2 linked regions of the Oreochromis niloticus genome follow. The protein of the gene in region 2 purifies or fractionates together with the protein of the main gene of each other region. This does not show direct contact. Links are inferred from orthologs where the notes say so. Each region holds a gene or a part of one and is shown on either strand. Other genes may lie near its edges.

Region 1 (7,731 bases), on a different chromosome or scaffold from region 2:
ACATCAAATAAAAATCTGTTACCTTCTCTATAAAAGAATGTGAAGCACTCCTAAAACTAAGTACCGGGTTTCATTAAAGACAGCTGTCTTTTTCTGAAATCAGTGGCAAGTATGTACTCTATAGCTCAAAGGTAATTATGAACACAAATACTTATGGTCACAGAGCCAGGGTGTAGTGCCCTAAGCTTCTCTTTTTGAATTGAAATGACAGCTTAAGGTAAACCCTGTTTTCAAATACACGTATTGCCAATCTCCATCCTGTAATTTTCTCACTCTCAAGCTTTTGTCTGTTATGTATGGTAAATTTCAACTTCAATACAGAGATCGATTAGCTGGAGTGAAAAGCCCTCTCCAAGTTCAACATATTTGTCTAACCTCAAACTTAAAATGCATGCAAAGTGAAGGTGCTGGAAATATGCAAAACCTCTATGGAAGGTGGCTTAATGAGTAAATGTCTCTAGAACATAATTCCCAATAGATTTTAAGGGTGACCTACAGCATATACTCACCGAGACATGGGGCTCGTACTGGAGGACCTGCGGTTACCATAGGGGCTCATGGAGCGTCTCCTAGAGTAAGGGCTGCTGTCCCTCTCAAAGCTGGAGGACCTGTGTCTGCTGCCGTAGGGGCTGTCTGATCTCTGCCTGCTACGACGAGACACATCACCATAGGGACTCGGGCTTTGCTGGGCCGCCCTCCGTCTAGAGTAGCTGTCATCCCCCTGATGTCCATACCCACTGCCCAGTGGACTCTCACTGCCGGCCCCTCTTCTGGGACTCGGCGACAATGCAGAGCTGGTGCCCTTTCTCCGTGGGCTACCCCTACTTGAAGACTTCCCCTTCGGGCTTGACTTGTGGCTCTTAGAGGACTTGCGATGGCTTCTATCTGTCCGGCTCCTCTGGGAGGAGCTGCGACTGGCCTCCCCTCGGCCTTCTCTCCGCTGTTGCCTGTCTTTGCGAGACTTCCCTGAGCGGCTGCTCTCCTTACTGCGAGATGAGGATGTGGAAGAAGTAGTGCTACCTACACTGGCTGCAGGCGGTGCCTGGGAGGAGAGCATCAGCTCCCCACGTTTGGAGTCACCCTCTGACGGCACCTGGCGTTTAGATGAGGAGCCTGACGAGGCCTCCTCCTTGCCCTTTCCAGAAGTCACTTTCTCGCGATCTTTACTGCTCTTTTTCTTGTACCCACGTTCTCCATTTCCAGATTCTCTAACTTTGTTAGTGTCCTTGGACTTTTTTCGTGGGTGTCTGTGCCCCCTGCTCTCTCTATTACCTTCTTCTTCGCCAATATCCCTATCGTAGTCTGGCGAGGGTTCCAGTCGATTTCCCCCCCTCTCAAAAGGCCTGGAGGACGGTGGGTCCGAGAAGGTGTCCGAGTCGGAGCTAATATCGTCGTACTCCACTAGAGGCTTCACCGTGTTGACACCAGGAGGCGCCGTATCGCCGAGGGTAAAATCGTCAGGTGCCGCCAAGGATTCCCGATTATGTTTTGTTGATTTATGCCGTTTGCGTTTTAAAGAAGAGGAGGACATTGAAGTTTTTAACTGCACCTTGCCGTCCTTGCTCATCATGTCTCCCGCAGAGGTATGAGTCGGGCCCTGGTTCTGGTGTGGCACACCACCGATGCTAGATTCCGGCTTCCTCTTGGTCCCATGGTGTCGGTCCGACCCAGGCATCCCTCACGTCGGCGTCGGTGCCTCTTCTGCGACTTGGCCTCGGTGATCCAGGCAATTCATTCACAGGAGACCAGTAGCAACTCCAAATGTCAAAACAAGTCTTACTAAGCAGAATCAGGACAAGAAAATACAAAAATAAACACACCAGGCCGCTTACGTCCACTTCTCCTCAATGCCAATTCATTCCATTGAGATCGCCAGCATATTTCGTCAAAGCAGATAAATGCCAAGTTGGTTTTCCAGTGCTGCGAAGTTTGTACTTTCAGTTAGTCAGCGAATGAAAAAGACTCCAACCAAACATCGGATCATTGTGGTGTCGTCTCCGTCTCAGTTTAGCTAGCACAGCTAGCTAAAGCTCGGCAGCTAGCGAGCTGACTCCTAAAAAAGAAAAAAAGTCCCTTTGTGAAAGCTGTCCTTGTCCGGTGCCAAGTTAAGTAAAGGTGTTTTTATTCCACAGAATACGGTCTTAGCATTCAGAAACAAGCAAATGCCTTCATTAAAAGACGCTCGTTTCTCCAACAAAATGAAAACTTGACCCGGTTGGTACTGTTTACATGTTCCCTTTAATGTAAGTTTTATCCCCTATAAATTCAATATTGATAAGAAATTATAATATTTTCGTGTGCAGGAGATGTTCCAGTTTATTATCAATGGCTCTGGAAATCAACCAGGCCTATATTTAGGGCGATGCTAGTGGATTTAATATCATCCACAGCCCTAGCTCAAGGAGACTACAAACGCCATTATGGCTCCTGTAACTAGCAACTTCTGCGCACAGCCGATTGAACCGGAAGACGGAGCACTGCCAATCTTGACTGTATCCGAGCAACTTCCTATCAGCGCAAAGATCCCGCCCACCGTCCTCATGGCGACACGACAGAGACGTAAAATGAAGAGATATGTACTAATTTGCAAAAGTACGTTTTTAAAAACTTTCCAAGTTTCAGATAACACATTTAAAACAACACACATGTTAGATGTCAGGCTCATGATGGGTTGTTAAATGTTGAGCTTGTTGGAACAGAAAAGGAAGACACTGGGGCAAAGATAATAGAGCAAAGTCTTATTATCAACAGGCAGCAGGCAACTGCCTCTGGGTCCTGAAAGCGTCAACATATTTAACCTACTACTAAGGTTCATTAACTTACATGGTAAGGTCTTTTTAATAAGTTCTGCTTCACAAGATAAGCATGAGGTCCAGTCTTAGGTGGGCGTCTTTCAAAATATAGTAGTCTTTTATTATGCTATCCCAGAGAAATCCATGTTTAAGTAATGCTCTAGTAGGAAAAAAAAAAGCAAAGAGAAGATCTTGCAAAGTGTTTAGGAGAAATCCACCAAAGCATGACTTTATGTTTGGGCTTGTCTCCTTAATAGTACTTTACATATCAGCAGATGGATCAGCAGATGGATCAGCATCCTGCGTATTGGTAAAATAAATAGAAATCTACATGTCTTAAACAATACAACAATCAGACAATGGTCACTTGGAAGGCAGTGAATGAACCAAAGCTGCCATGAAAGAAAAACAGCATATGTTCTTGCCCTGTGACTGACATGTGACAGTTTCCCTGTGGGTATCTGTGGTTTAGGATTTTCAGGTTTACGTGTACACAGTATATTTTAAATAGAGAGCTGTACTTTATCTTACTGAAAAAAATAAAGTAGTTATCACAATGCACAGTTTCACTAAAAGTATATGATATCAAATGGATAATTAAGCAGAGATCTTTCAGATTTTTTAAGGACAATGCTATATTTAAGTGCATTTATACACACACACAAAAACAAAACAAAACACACTGACATGTCTGCTGGTTGAAATTGAGGCCTGGATCTTTACGAAACACACAAATAAGGCATTTCTGGGTCAAAACTTTTCTATGTCTTTCTGATAAAACTCTTTCAAGCTACAGACACACACACAAAGACACAGTTCTTGTTGTTGTTCCCTCTGATGTCTCTTTGTCCCCCGATGACCTCCCTTTCTTCACTCTATTTGTTGCACTTGTTCATATCCTGCTACTGGAGGAGTGTTAAAACAAAAAGTCATGCAAAAGTACGACCGAGAGAGAGCTTTTTTGGGAAAAGCATGCTTTTGGGATATTTCCTCAAAATGATTGAATAATGAATATTTTGTTCTTTATCTAAAAATAAAATAAAATAAAATAATGAATGTGAGAATTTTTCAACAGTGATTATGGTTTTTTTAGCTTGCGGTGCAGCCAGTGTGAAGGCACCCTAGCTGCTTCATTTAGATCCAACTAAAGTCCGTTAACTGCTACTACGGATAATCTACCGATTATCTTACATGTAAATCTTGCTAAACTTTAAAGTTAACCCCAATGTTTTCTTCCTTAATTTTCATGAAAGTCGCACATCGTTTTTTTTTGACAGCAGGTACCTATTTATACGCTTGTGGTTTGTACTTCACAGAGCAAGTTTTGGGTGTTAATTTTTTAATATAATGTGATAATACAAAAACAAACCCTTTAAAAGACTAGTAAAATTGGGTATATAAACACATTTTATATTACTTGTCATTCCTATACTTGGAATTTAACTTTCATTCATGTGAACTAACTATTTCTTTTCTAGTCTTCCTTAATATTCAGAGCTTTATCTATCTCACATCTCTGTTGTCAAACTGTTTTTTTAATGCCCCACCTTCAGAAAACCTTCAACATTTTTCCCTGGTAACAACACACCGTTTGAAAACTACTCCATTAACATAACAAGCATCTGTCTTTGGACCAAAGAAAATCAAGAAAATGCCTGGAAAAGGCTGAACCCCGACCTTATTTCTGTGAGAAAACAGTACTATCATCTGCACCTCTATGTCACTGATATACAAGACCTAGACAGAATAAACCTAGTCAGGTATTTAATGCCTTACTTGTAACTGAAATAGGAAACCAGGTAGCTCCCACATATCACATATTAAGAGTATTAAAACACTGAGGTCCAATGAACAGTACTAGAGAGCACATTTGTTTGGATTATTCCTTTAGGGATAAAATTGTCTTCTACTGTATGCCTCTTTCTGGGTGTGTATTTTTGTAGATTAACACATTTGCATATACACTCATAACTGATTTTATTAGGTACACTTTGCCAGTACCGAGACACTTGCCTTCAGAACTGCCTTAATTATTCATGGCACAGATGCAATAAGATCCTGAAAACATTTTGATCCATATTGACATCATAGCATCACACAGTTGCTACAAATTTGTCAGCTGCACATCCATGATATAAAGCTCCCATTATACATCACATCCCAAAGGGGCTCTATTGGATTGTGATCTGTTGATTCTAGAAGCTGTTAGAGTACAGTGAACTCACTGTCATTTAAGGAAACCAGTTATTTGAGCTCTGCAACATGGCATGTTATCGTGCTGGAAGCAGCCATCAGAATATCCGAAGATCCAAATGTTGCAAGACTTATCAGACCAGATAACGTTTTTCCAAGGTTTGATGTGTTGTGCATTCATGATTGCTCTTCTGCATAGATTGGTTGTGACGAGTGGTTATTTGAGTGGCTGTTGCCTTTCACACAGCTTGAAGCAGTCTCGCCACTCTCCTCTGACCTCTGACATCAACAAGCCATTTTCACCCAGAGAACTGCTGCTCACTGGATATTTCCTCTTTATTTTGGACCGTTCCCTGTAAACCCTAGAAACAGTTGTGTGGGAAAATCCCTGTAGATCAGCAGTTTCTAAAATACTCACACCAGACTATCTGGCACCAACAACCAAGTAACATTCAAAATCTCTTAAATAACTTTTTCTTCTCCATTCTGATGATAAATTTGAACTTCAACAAATCTACTTGACCATTTCTAGAAGCTGAAATACATTGAGTTGTTGCCATGCGATTGGTTGATTAGATAGCTGCATTAAAGAGCGGTTGAACAGATGTATCTAATAAAGTGGCCAGTGAGTAAAGAACAAAAGATGCAAAGGTCCTCTTCAAATTCAAACTTTGGGACTAAAAGAACCCAAAAAGAGTATATTGTTTACACACATTTTAAAAGGTGTTTCTTTATCCTAAGGCGCATCAGGAGATAATTGATCAATTGAAAATCACTGTTTTCTTAAAGTTACAGAGCACCATACCCCAGTCACACACTACTATTTGCGTATTAGAAATTAAGAGAACATATTAGCTATCACTGGCTTTGCTATAGATATATTGAATGCTCAGTGTTGACTGGCATGTTAGTTTTACGCTCTACGATGACGCAGTATTACGAGCTGCCGTCCTTGGATGCTGATTGGACACGCTGTTGAAGAGGGGTGTGCCCGAGGAGAAACGAGGAAGTGGCGTTTCCCTATTGCAATAACAAAGTTGGAATGTTTAATAACAGAAGATGAGATAGAATAACCTAAAAACGAGTGTTAGCCGTTACTGATAGTTAATAAAAGGCCGAACTCACAGGTTCTATTCTGGTTTTAATACTGTTTTTAATACAGTGGAAAGGTCTTCAAGTGGCAGAACTCATATCAGACATGCACTTCACTTCAGATGTTTTTGTTTCATACTATACGAGAAACATAATTTTTAGCCTGTGTTTTCTCACAAAGTCCGTATGAACTTTGAATCTGATCTAACTTTTTAATTATAACATGTGGCCCCAAACCCATAGGTATTCATGCTACGTGTGCGGGCAAATGGTTGACACCCCACTTTGATATTTATATTTGCTCCTCTGTGAGCTTTGGTTAAAGGAGCAGCCAGCGAGCGAGAAATAGTGCGCACTGAGCAAGGTCATTATATTTATTATTTTTCATATTAATGTTATTTATTTATTATGGATGTAGGGGTTGTACCGGTTGAATTTTAGTCTGCCCCATTCCTGTCGGGCTATTGTGTGGATGGATAGAAAGCTGTGCTTATAGGGGGAGGAGGAGGTGAGGGCGAATCGAGCTGATAAGAGAAGTGGCTTATGGCTGGCTTGCTGCTGCTCGCAATCCATATGATTTGTTTTTATCGGTAACTAGAGGTTTTGTGGTTCGTGGTACAGGTCAAAATACATCAAACCACCGGAGCTACCGAGAGGACGGTAGCATGATAATCGTGGAGAGGGCCCGTATCTGCATTTTACTGCGCCTACACCGAATCCATTGAGTCGGTTTACCAGCGTCCGACATGGGGAAGGAGGTAAATGGTGTTTCGCGGAGCCGGTTTGAGGTGAGTTAATTATTTCCATCAACTGACAGTCACTGAAACACATTTAAAATAGCCGATATAACCGCTAGGATGCGGGCCTGCGTGTTGACTGTTGCTATAATTATTATAAAACTGCGCTTATGGGGAGGCTATTGATGCAGCTTCCGCAGTCGGTGTTTGGGATTAGGTCAAACACTGTTGTGTTATTCAAACAACATATAGGCCTGGCGTGGTGAGGACGCACGTCGGTATTTTCCACTAAAGCCGACGTGCTGCTCGCAGCCACTTTCAAGGCATTTTGAGTGCTCTTTAAACGTTGTCCTCGTTTCCCTTTGCGCCGTCAAAACAAAGACAATGAGGCTACACAGAGCACGCCGAGGAAAGCTTCGGCACACGTCAACATAATGAGCAGAAGTTGAGGATTTAGGTGTTTCACTTTGAAAAGAAGCTGCTTAAAATTATCCTTATAGGCAGGATTGTTAAGTTTCCCCCTTCTCTCTTTTGAGACCTTGTTATGTATGCTATATCTATAGCCGCTGCGGCGGTGGTGGCCTCAGTCTGCTACCTGCACCCGGTGTTAGCACAAAATATCTGAAAATAGTGCCGAGCTACAACAGTGCAACACACATCATAACCTATACTCGTCTAAAAATGCCCATATGTACGCTGTCTACCTACAGTGTCGTTGTTGTTCGTTTTTTTTTTTTTTCCAATGCAAGGCTATTACCATAAACTTTGTGTCGCAGCCGCGCAAGCGTAGCTGAATATTTTGGTGCGAACTTGTATACAAACAAATGTATGCGGCCACTGACATTGGCCTGTATAGCCCGAGCATTTGATGTTGTTTAATCCCCAGCTAGCGTGGGATTTGTGTGTGGTTTTATTTA
Region 2 (7,899 bases):
GCATTTTTTGCAATCACTGAAAAAAACGTGCTGTCTTCGTGTTTTACTAAAAGAAAAGTGCGTTATTAATCATTTTAGTTGTTTATTTATTTATATTGGCCCGAAAGTCCGAATCGGGCTAAATAATAATATCGACAAAATTGCAAAGCAGTAAATGTTACGATAAAGGAAGTGATGAGCGTGTAAAGATATTAACCTCACCTTGTATTGTCTCCCTGTGCGTCAACGATAAGTGCTGCGGGTTCACCTGCTTGCGGCGGGACATTGCCCCGGCATCTACTCTGGCATCGCCCGGTGAACGGCACTTGGAGTCGGCTTGGACCGTGGTGTCGGTCCTCTCTGGATCACGGGTCCCCGACTTCCCGCTCCCTTTTGTATTCCCCTGCTGCTTTTCACAGTCTTTAGCTGGAACTTTGATTCGTCTTTTTTTCTTTTCTTTTCTTTTTGTTTTTGGAAAGATCACCAGTCGGACAGCAGCGCGATAAGGATGGAGGACCGCTCAGTCCACGGTGTCCTGCTGCGCCTCGGAGGAAGCAACACTTGGATTAAGGACGCCAAAAAAGTGTAGTTTTAGCAAGGAAGCGTCTGCAGACGACCGATGAGCTAATGAGTGCGCCGGTAAAGTGACCTTTTGCAGATTAACCAAAAAGGAAAAGGAAAGGGAAAAAAATCCTGGACTGTCCGCTTCTGCAGCGACCGCGGTGACAGATTAAGTAGCCTACGGAGCACTCCACCAGTGATGGATGTTGTCACCTATTTAACTCCTCTCCCTTTTCTTTAATTTTAATGATATAATTATATCATCTGGGTTCAAATGGTGGCTCTTTAGTTTAGGATTCCCTACAGTCCTTCCATCTCAGCAGTGGCGCGCTACAATGACCCTTTGGCACTGACTCCCCTCGCGCGTTTTGGCATCGGTGCGCAGAAACGGCAACTCTTGGCTCTCGTGGCAGTAGCCGCGTTGATTGAGAGAGGGAGAGAAAGCGACAGAGAGAGAGAGAGAGAGAGCGCAGGCGGGCAGACGGACAAGAGACACCTCCCTCCCCTCCTTCCAACAAGCTCCAGTGTCTCCTATTGAGCCGTCTTTGCAGCTCACACGACGAAACATGCCCTGTTTGGGGCGACCCCGCATGTGTGTGTGTTTGTGTGTGTGGTTGGTGTTGCCTCATTCAAGTTTAAGTGCGTCCAAGACATCAGCCACTACAGAGGTGTGAACGGCAGACAACACAGAGACAATTTGCGGGGGGCAACCAGCAGTGGCTCCCCAGAGCTCCACCACGAGCTTCAGACGCAAACATCACTCAGCAGTGGCTACTTCACAGGCACGCTCACGTCTGGCTATTGGAAGCAGTGTCAAGTTAGCAGCCAAAATTCACCTTCACTTGATTTTTTCTTTTTGGTAATTCTATCACAAATACTATGAAGTAAAACAATCTGATCATTTCACCTTTTACCTATTTAGAACCACCACCACCACCCCTCATCATTGCTTACAGAAGTCTCCCAGGCACGCCAGATGGAAATGATCTTAAAACAAGAACAGCAAACACCTAGATCAGGTCCAAGTCAAACTTGGATGAAGGGTCACCTTTAATTTAGACAATCCTTTGTGTTGCTGTTTGTCGACTATGTAAACGCTGAAGCACTGCACAGGACACATGGCATCATACATGCAGTACTTACTCACATTTGAGTCAGAGGGTGGAAAACCCATGCTGTAGCTTTGTTGTTGGGGATCATTTAAATATGTTGTGAGGCAACAGTACCCTCTGTTGGCACAGTCTGGAGAACCTGTTTAGGCAGTGATACCTTAATGCAGCATTACTAAACTCCATCCCTATTTTTAGAATGAAGCCTCCTTAATTTGCCATTTACACAGTTCAGCGTCTGAGAGAGAGTCCTTGGAAAAGCAGATCGGGTTCACTAAGAGGCAATTAATAGCACTAAGGGAAGGTAATTGCACACGTACAGGTCTGCATTGAGATACAGGTTAGTACAGCCCTAACGCCACCACACCATACAGTCCAAACTGGTGCCGTGCCGTAATTTGCTTGAAATACATTGTTGAATAAAAATAATAGCCTCACACGGCCGTTTAAAGTTGACACTGTTTCCTCGTAGATCAGCAGAGAAGTGTGCAGCCACAGCAATACATTTTACAGCCCGCCATTAATAAAACATGGTGGGCAATTTTAAGAGCATTAGAAGTTTGATTGCTTCGGGGCAGGCCTAGGGGACTTTCAGGACAGTAATTATTTATATAAATGAAATGTCATCTCAGCTCTGGCTCAAGTAGACGTAACCTCAGCAGACGCCACATGGAAACACTACGGCACAACAGCTATCTTTCACAGATAGGCCAAGCATGTTGTCGAGCATATTGCTTTGACTGGAGCGCATAAATTCGATATGTGATATTACACGGAGAGTCTTCGACTCCGCGTCGGGCCAAGAGAGCAACAGCAGTCGTGGACATATTGAATGCTGAAGGAAAACATTATCCTGAGTTCACACACGCTCTCTCTCTCGCTCGCTCTCTTGCCATCCCTGCCGGCTGCGAGCAGCTCCTTGATCCTTACCCATGGGTTTCTCAATAATACATCAATGTCTCCATTATAGCTTGTAACTGCAGGCTCTGGGCAAAGGCAGTTTAAAGCTGGGTTGCATGGGGCCAACATAGCACAAATACCCCGCTTGTGGACACAGGAAAGGTTTTAAGTCCAAATGTTGCCTCCAAGGAGACATGCATCTCTCATGCTAAGTGTGGTCGCTCAAGAGGAGGTACCTGAACACACCACGGGGCAACATCCAAGCAAGATGTGAAAGTTTTGTCCAACTTACAAGGGGCCACGGTGCTGACATGCAATCGCTTTTTCCAGAATCTACTGAATTTAGAAAGATCTGCCTCGTTTGTAACTTACAGTTAAAATAATGAGCCCGGTGACAAAGTTTTTAAAAAAATTAGGAGCTTTTGCATTTGAGTGGACACGCGGCTCACCCGGCTTTGATTCTGGGTCACCTCCATCATTGCATCCCTTACATCTTCCATTTTTCATGTCCCTCCCATTTATTTACTCTCTAAAGAATACAACAAAGACATTAATACAGTATCCTAAAATAGACTAATGTACATGACGGAAACTGCACTTTATACAGTTTTTAGGGTTAAGTGTGCAGACCTTTCGAGACAGTCTTCAATGCGTTTAACCACAGCGTGACAGAGCTGACATAAACAATGAAAGGTCCACTCCAGGAGAGCTGGGGTAATATGAATATTGCTCTGGGATTTGCTTATAGTCGGCGCTTCATTATGCAATGTTTAATATTAATAAAGAAAGTATAAGTATATATTATTCATAAGCTGATTTACGGTGGCTGGTGTGTGTGTGTGTGTGTGTGTGTGTGTGTGTGTGTGGATTTGAGTGACAGATTGAGATGCTCCCTTGCTACAGGCAATACAACTAGACAAGGCTCTTACTTTTCTACAGGACACATCCTGACAATTTCTCCCACAGTTAAGAGGATTTGTCCGAGCAGGGGTGAATATATAATGCATGCAGATTCCAAATTTTAATTTGGACGGAGTAAATGATTCAATGCTGGCTTTTCTCAGAAGTGAGACTGGGCGGGAGGGGGATGCAGAGGGCACAAGATGTTACTTGCAAACCCCGCTCTTATGCAGTGACATTTAAACAAGTACAGATGATGCTGCACCTTTCACATGTCAACAACAGGAGCCTAAAGGAAAATTACTTTTCTAATATTTTCATTTTCCTGCTTAAAATTCCTTTTTGGTTAATATGATAGCAAGTTTCCATTACCAATAAACACCACAAACAACTTCTTTTTTTGTCCTAATCAGTCCCTTTTCTCACCTTCTCCTTTGCAGCAGGGTGAGGTGGTAAACTTTCATAATCTGTCCTGTCTCACAACCTTCATGTTTGAACTCAGATGCCATCGTGACAGATAATACATGATAATTATTTGCAGTTTGAATCTCATGTGCATATATTGTTTTGCGTATTAATTAATATCATCGTCATTCTGTGCATACAGCTCAAAACCAACATTTAAGGTAAATTTTAAACGTGTACGTGTTGTTTGATTAGATATAAATAACTCACGAGTAATATAGAAGATAACGCCGGCACTGAGTTAAAAAATGAGGGATTTGCTTGTGTTTAATCAGTAAAATAAACCAGCAATGTTTATTTTAGGGAGTCAGACAGAGTAGATTTGGACCCAGTGTTCTTTAGTATGTGCACTCTCAGGCAAATACCAGCAAAACTCATCTACTCTTAGATCCAGTTGTGCATCAGCAGTCTGTTTGTAACATATACAGGAGTATAAAAATCTATAGGTATCAAACGACAAAGGAAAATCTGCTTCAGTTTATGTATTATACGTGTTTAACCTTGTCATTTTTTCTTTTTAATTTAATTTTTAACTTACCTGCAGATTCACATTTATACTGGTCACAACTCATACTTGTTTGATTGGGTTCCTTTTACATCCTGCTACTGCTACATCCAGTGATATTTCTTGTAAGGAGCATATTTCTATGTTTGGGTGTTACCTGCTGCAGGACTCACCAGGTGTGAAAATAACCGGTGACTATTCAGCACAATGTAAATAATATTTGCTTGCTTGCTTGTAATTTGCACATGTAAACTATTTGGTCAATGCTAAGTCAATGCTGACCGCCAAGGTCCAAGAGTGAATCTGTGTCTCCCTCTAGTGGATATTATTGGGAATATCATCCTTTAGATTATTATCAAGAATATAAGAATTTAAAATGTTTTCAGGAAAGGCGGGCTGTTTCCAGCAGCGCTAGTTAGACTTAAAACACGAATGAAATTAATGTAGCAGCGGAAATGGAAAGAAAAATGTGACCCGAGAGCACGTGTACATGAGTGCCTGCGTGATGACGTCTTCCAATGGTCTGACGTACCGCAAAATGGTGGTGCCCTTGTTACAATGGGGTCTGTTGTTCACTTGTTAGCCAACTTATTGTGATCAACTGTGGATTATTGCTACAACTGTCTGATTTAGGCGATTTATTCGGACGTCTACATGTTAAAGGTAAGAGTTGTGTCTCGTTGGAAGCGGGAGGGAGATGAAGAGGCTGAATTCTGAACTACTTGTGACATGTCGGAAGCTTCGGCGTTAACACCGAGTTGAGCAAGTTTGCTAGCCGAGGTTTAGCTAGCCGAGGCTGGTGCAGAGTGGCCCTGTCGATGTGACAGCGTTGGTTGCCTTCAGTTGGAGAGTTTCATAAATGTTAGCCTATCGGCGCGTTTAAGCCACTTCGAGTGTGTGGCTCATGTTATCCTAATCTCCGCCCCTTGCTGCTTTTTTAGTTTTACGAAGCTAAGTTACCATCACAGCTAACAGTGCCAGCAGTAGCGGGTTCGTTGCAAAGCATTTTCGCTGTGTCTACATTAGGCTGTTGATTCTGCTGTGCTGCTGTAGGCACACTGGGAGACGAGATTTACACATGCATGGAAATTATAGATATATTATGTTGCTGTCTGAATCCATTTTACTCATCTATTTATTTACAACGAGCCTGGACTTGGAGCACAATGCAGCTCAGAAATGTTTGCTGCTCTTTAGCGTTTCACACTGTGGACTACAAGCTAATTACACTGTTTATAAGCCTGAGTGTGTGTATAAAACTACGCTATGGCCTACACAAAATAGCGAGTGGACGTAAACTCGTGGCCAGGTTATAGGCAGATTTGTGGTACTCTTTGCCTGAACGTAAATATTTACTTGTGTAAGCTATGCTGTTTAATGCTTTGCTGCCCTTAGTGATGATCCTTTTTATTTTTATCTCCGCAGTCCAGCACAGCGGGTCCATCCACCGCCTCTCCTCAATCAATGAAGGAATCCAAGGAAAATTCGTCAATGACGGGCCAGGCAATCTTGGACCATATAAAACCATGCTGGTACTGGGACAAGAAGGATTTAGCCCACACGCCCTCTCAGTCTGAGGGTCTGGACCCTGGCACAGAGGCCCGGTATCGCAGAGAAGGGGCTCGCTTCATATTCGACGTGGGGACCCGACTTGGCCTGTATCCTTGATTTAGATGATAGATTTATTGCTACAGCTACAAGAGAAAGGGTCACACGATTAATCAGTGCCACATGCTTCAGTTTTATAGTTAAAGATAAACAGACTTTTAAAAAGCAGTACATCTGAAAACGTCTTTTATGGCTGTCTTGTCCTTTCTCACAGAACCTACTTTGATGTGAATGTGAACATTTTTACAGGGTTTGTCTGATATACTTATATATATAATGATGTTTGTGGAATCATTATTAAAAGAAAAAAACTTTTTTCTTTTTAATTTAAAGAGTCACACGTTAAAGCTGATATTTTGCAAATGACCATTATTAGTCTTTGTGAGTCCTTGACCTGCATTTAGACACTACGACACACTGGCAACGGGCATCATATATTTCCACCGCTTCTACATGTTTCACTCCTTCAAGCAGTTTCCCAGATATGTAAGTAAATCTAATGGTCCCTGATTGTTTCACTCCTGGAAGCAGACCTGATGTTTGTAATGGTGAAGTAATGGTGTGATATGTGTCTCGACAGGTGACGGGAGCTTGTTGTCTTTTCTTGGCTGGTAAAGTAGAGGAAACCCCAAAGAAGTGCAAAGATATCATTAAAACTGCCCGCAGCCTCCTGAATGATGTGCAGTTTGCACAGTTTGGAGATGATCCCAAGGTGCAGTTCCTTGTATTCACCTTTGTTTTGAGATGTTTTTGCCTTGTGATAGCAGAAGCAGAATGGGTGTGAATACCTGTTAAAAACAGGTAGTGTGTAGTGGTCACAGGCCTCACTGTGATACAGGCAGATGACAATAATAACAGCGTCACTAATGCTTGAATAAATGAGGTCCTGGTAAAACTGAAGACTGAGTTTTCAATAACCTAAAAAGTTCCTTACTTATTTTTTTTAGTGATCAGGGCTTTTATTTACCTTAGCTGCCTGTAAGTGAGGCAGGCTTGCATTACAAACAAACTTTTATTCCTCGCTTTTATTAGAATAACTGTCTGTGTTCACTTGCATACAAAGCTTTGCTCAAACACGCTTACATTTCTTTAGTTTTAAGCTGGTGCATTAGGTGCGTAATACCACAGTAAGCCATGACTCATTCTTTAAACAGATCAGCGAGGTCATCAGAGCGTCACTCAGCACAGCTTTATGTGCCCTGACTCACAGAGACAGTAATCAGACCAGTTACCCTCTGCTGTCATGGGGTCAAAACCAAACAAGAACAAGTTTTAAATGCAGTGGAGTATGATTATGTCATTATGCCTCTTCACGTCTTTGCTATTAAAAACACACAACTCCCTCTCAACATTCAAGATTTTTCTTTTTTCCTCTTACCAGTTGGCGAGCTAAAATATCTATTAGCATGAAGTAGCCTCTGTTTCACTTAATCTGACCTTGAGTACTTTTGATAGAGCATGCATTTGTGACATCTGGACCTGGCTTATAACTTGACACTTTATTAGACACGTTTACAGCAAACACTCTTCTGGATTAGATCCAGCACTCATATGGAGCGGCACAAGCATCATACAGACGGCTTGTTTGCTTTCCAAGTCGCTCTTTAACTTGTTTAGCGTCATGCTAGAATTAGCCAGTGTCCTGGCTTTTCTCACCAGTTTTTAGTAGCTTAACTACTGTCATTAAGTCAGAATTGTACATTAGCTTCTTTCTTACTCAAGTGTTTTTAAATGAAAAGTTCAGACATTTGACTCTCATCTGGCTTATCGTTACTAATTGGAAGTAAAGGTAATGGAAACTTGCCATTCATTGCCAAAATGAGCTTTCATGTTTTTTAACATGTGCAGTATTTCCAGCGCCTACAGCGTTTT

What was found. Proteins that work in one complex are often made in the same cells at the same time.
Region 1: the proteins of ccnk (region 2) and cdk12 purify together in Homo sapiens (affinity purification with mass spectrometry; 6 studies listed by BioGRID and IntAct, with this or other methods). This does not show direct contact. The link is inferred for Oreochromis niloticus from reciprocal best matches to the Homo sapiens genes CCNK and CDK12.

The regions. Positions count from the first base shown.
Region 1 is NC_031969.2:26,959,162-26,966,892, reverse strand, and holds the start of cdk12 (cyclin-dependent kinase 12), read right to left. Parts: upstream 3,021-7,731; 5' UTR 1,676-3,020; coding exon 510-1,675; intron 1-509. Other genes in the region: fbxl20 (F-box/LRR-repeat protein 20), read left to right, coding at 6,824-6,865. UniProt on the Homo sapiens protein: Cyclin-dependent kinase that phosphorylates the C-terminal domain (CTD) of the large subunit of RNA polymerase II (POLR2A), thereby acting as a key regulator of transcription elongation.
Region 2 is NC_031980.2:2,995,028-3,002,926, reverse strand, and holds the start of ccnk (cyclin-K), read left to right. Parts: upstream 1-4,886; 5' UTR 4,887-5,073; coding exon 5,074-5,081; coding exon of another isoform or gene 5,082-5,082; intron 5,083-5,840; coding exon 5,841-6,077; intron 6,078-6,431; coding exon 6,432-6,513; intron 6,514-6,607; coding exon 6,608-6,739; intron 6,740-7,899. Other genes in the region: bcl11bb (B-cell lymphoma/leukemia 11B), read right to left, coding at 202-265. UniProt on the Homo sapiens protein: Regulatory subunit of cyclin-dependent kinases that mediates activation of target kinases.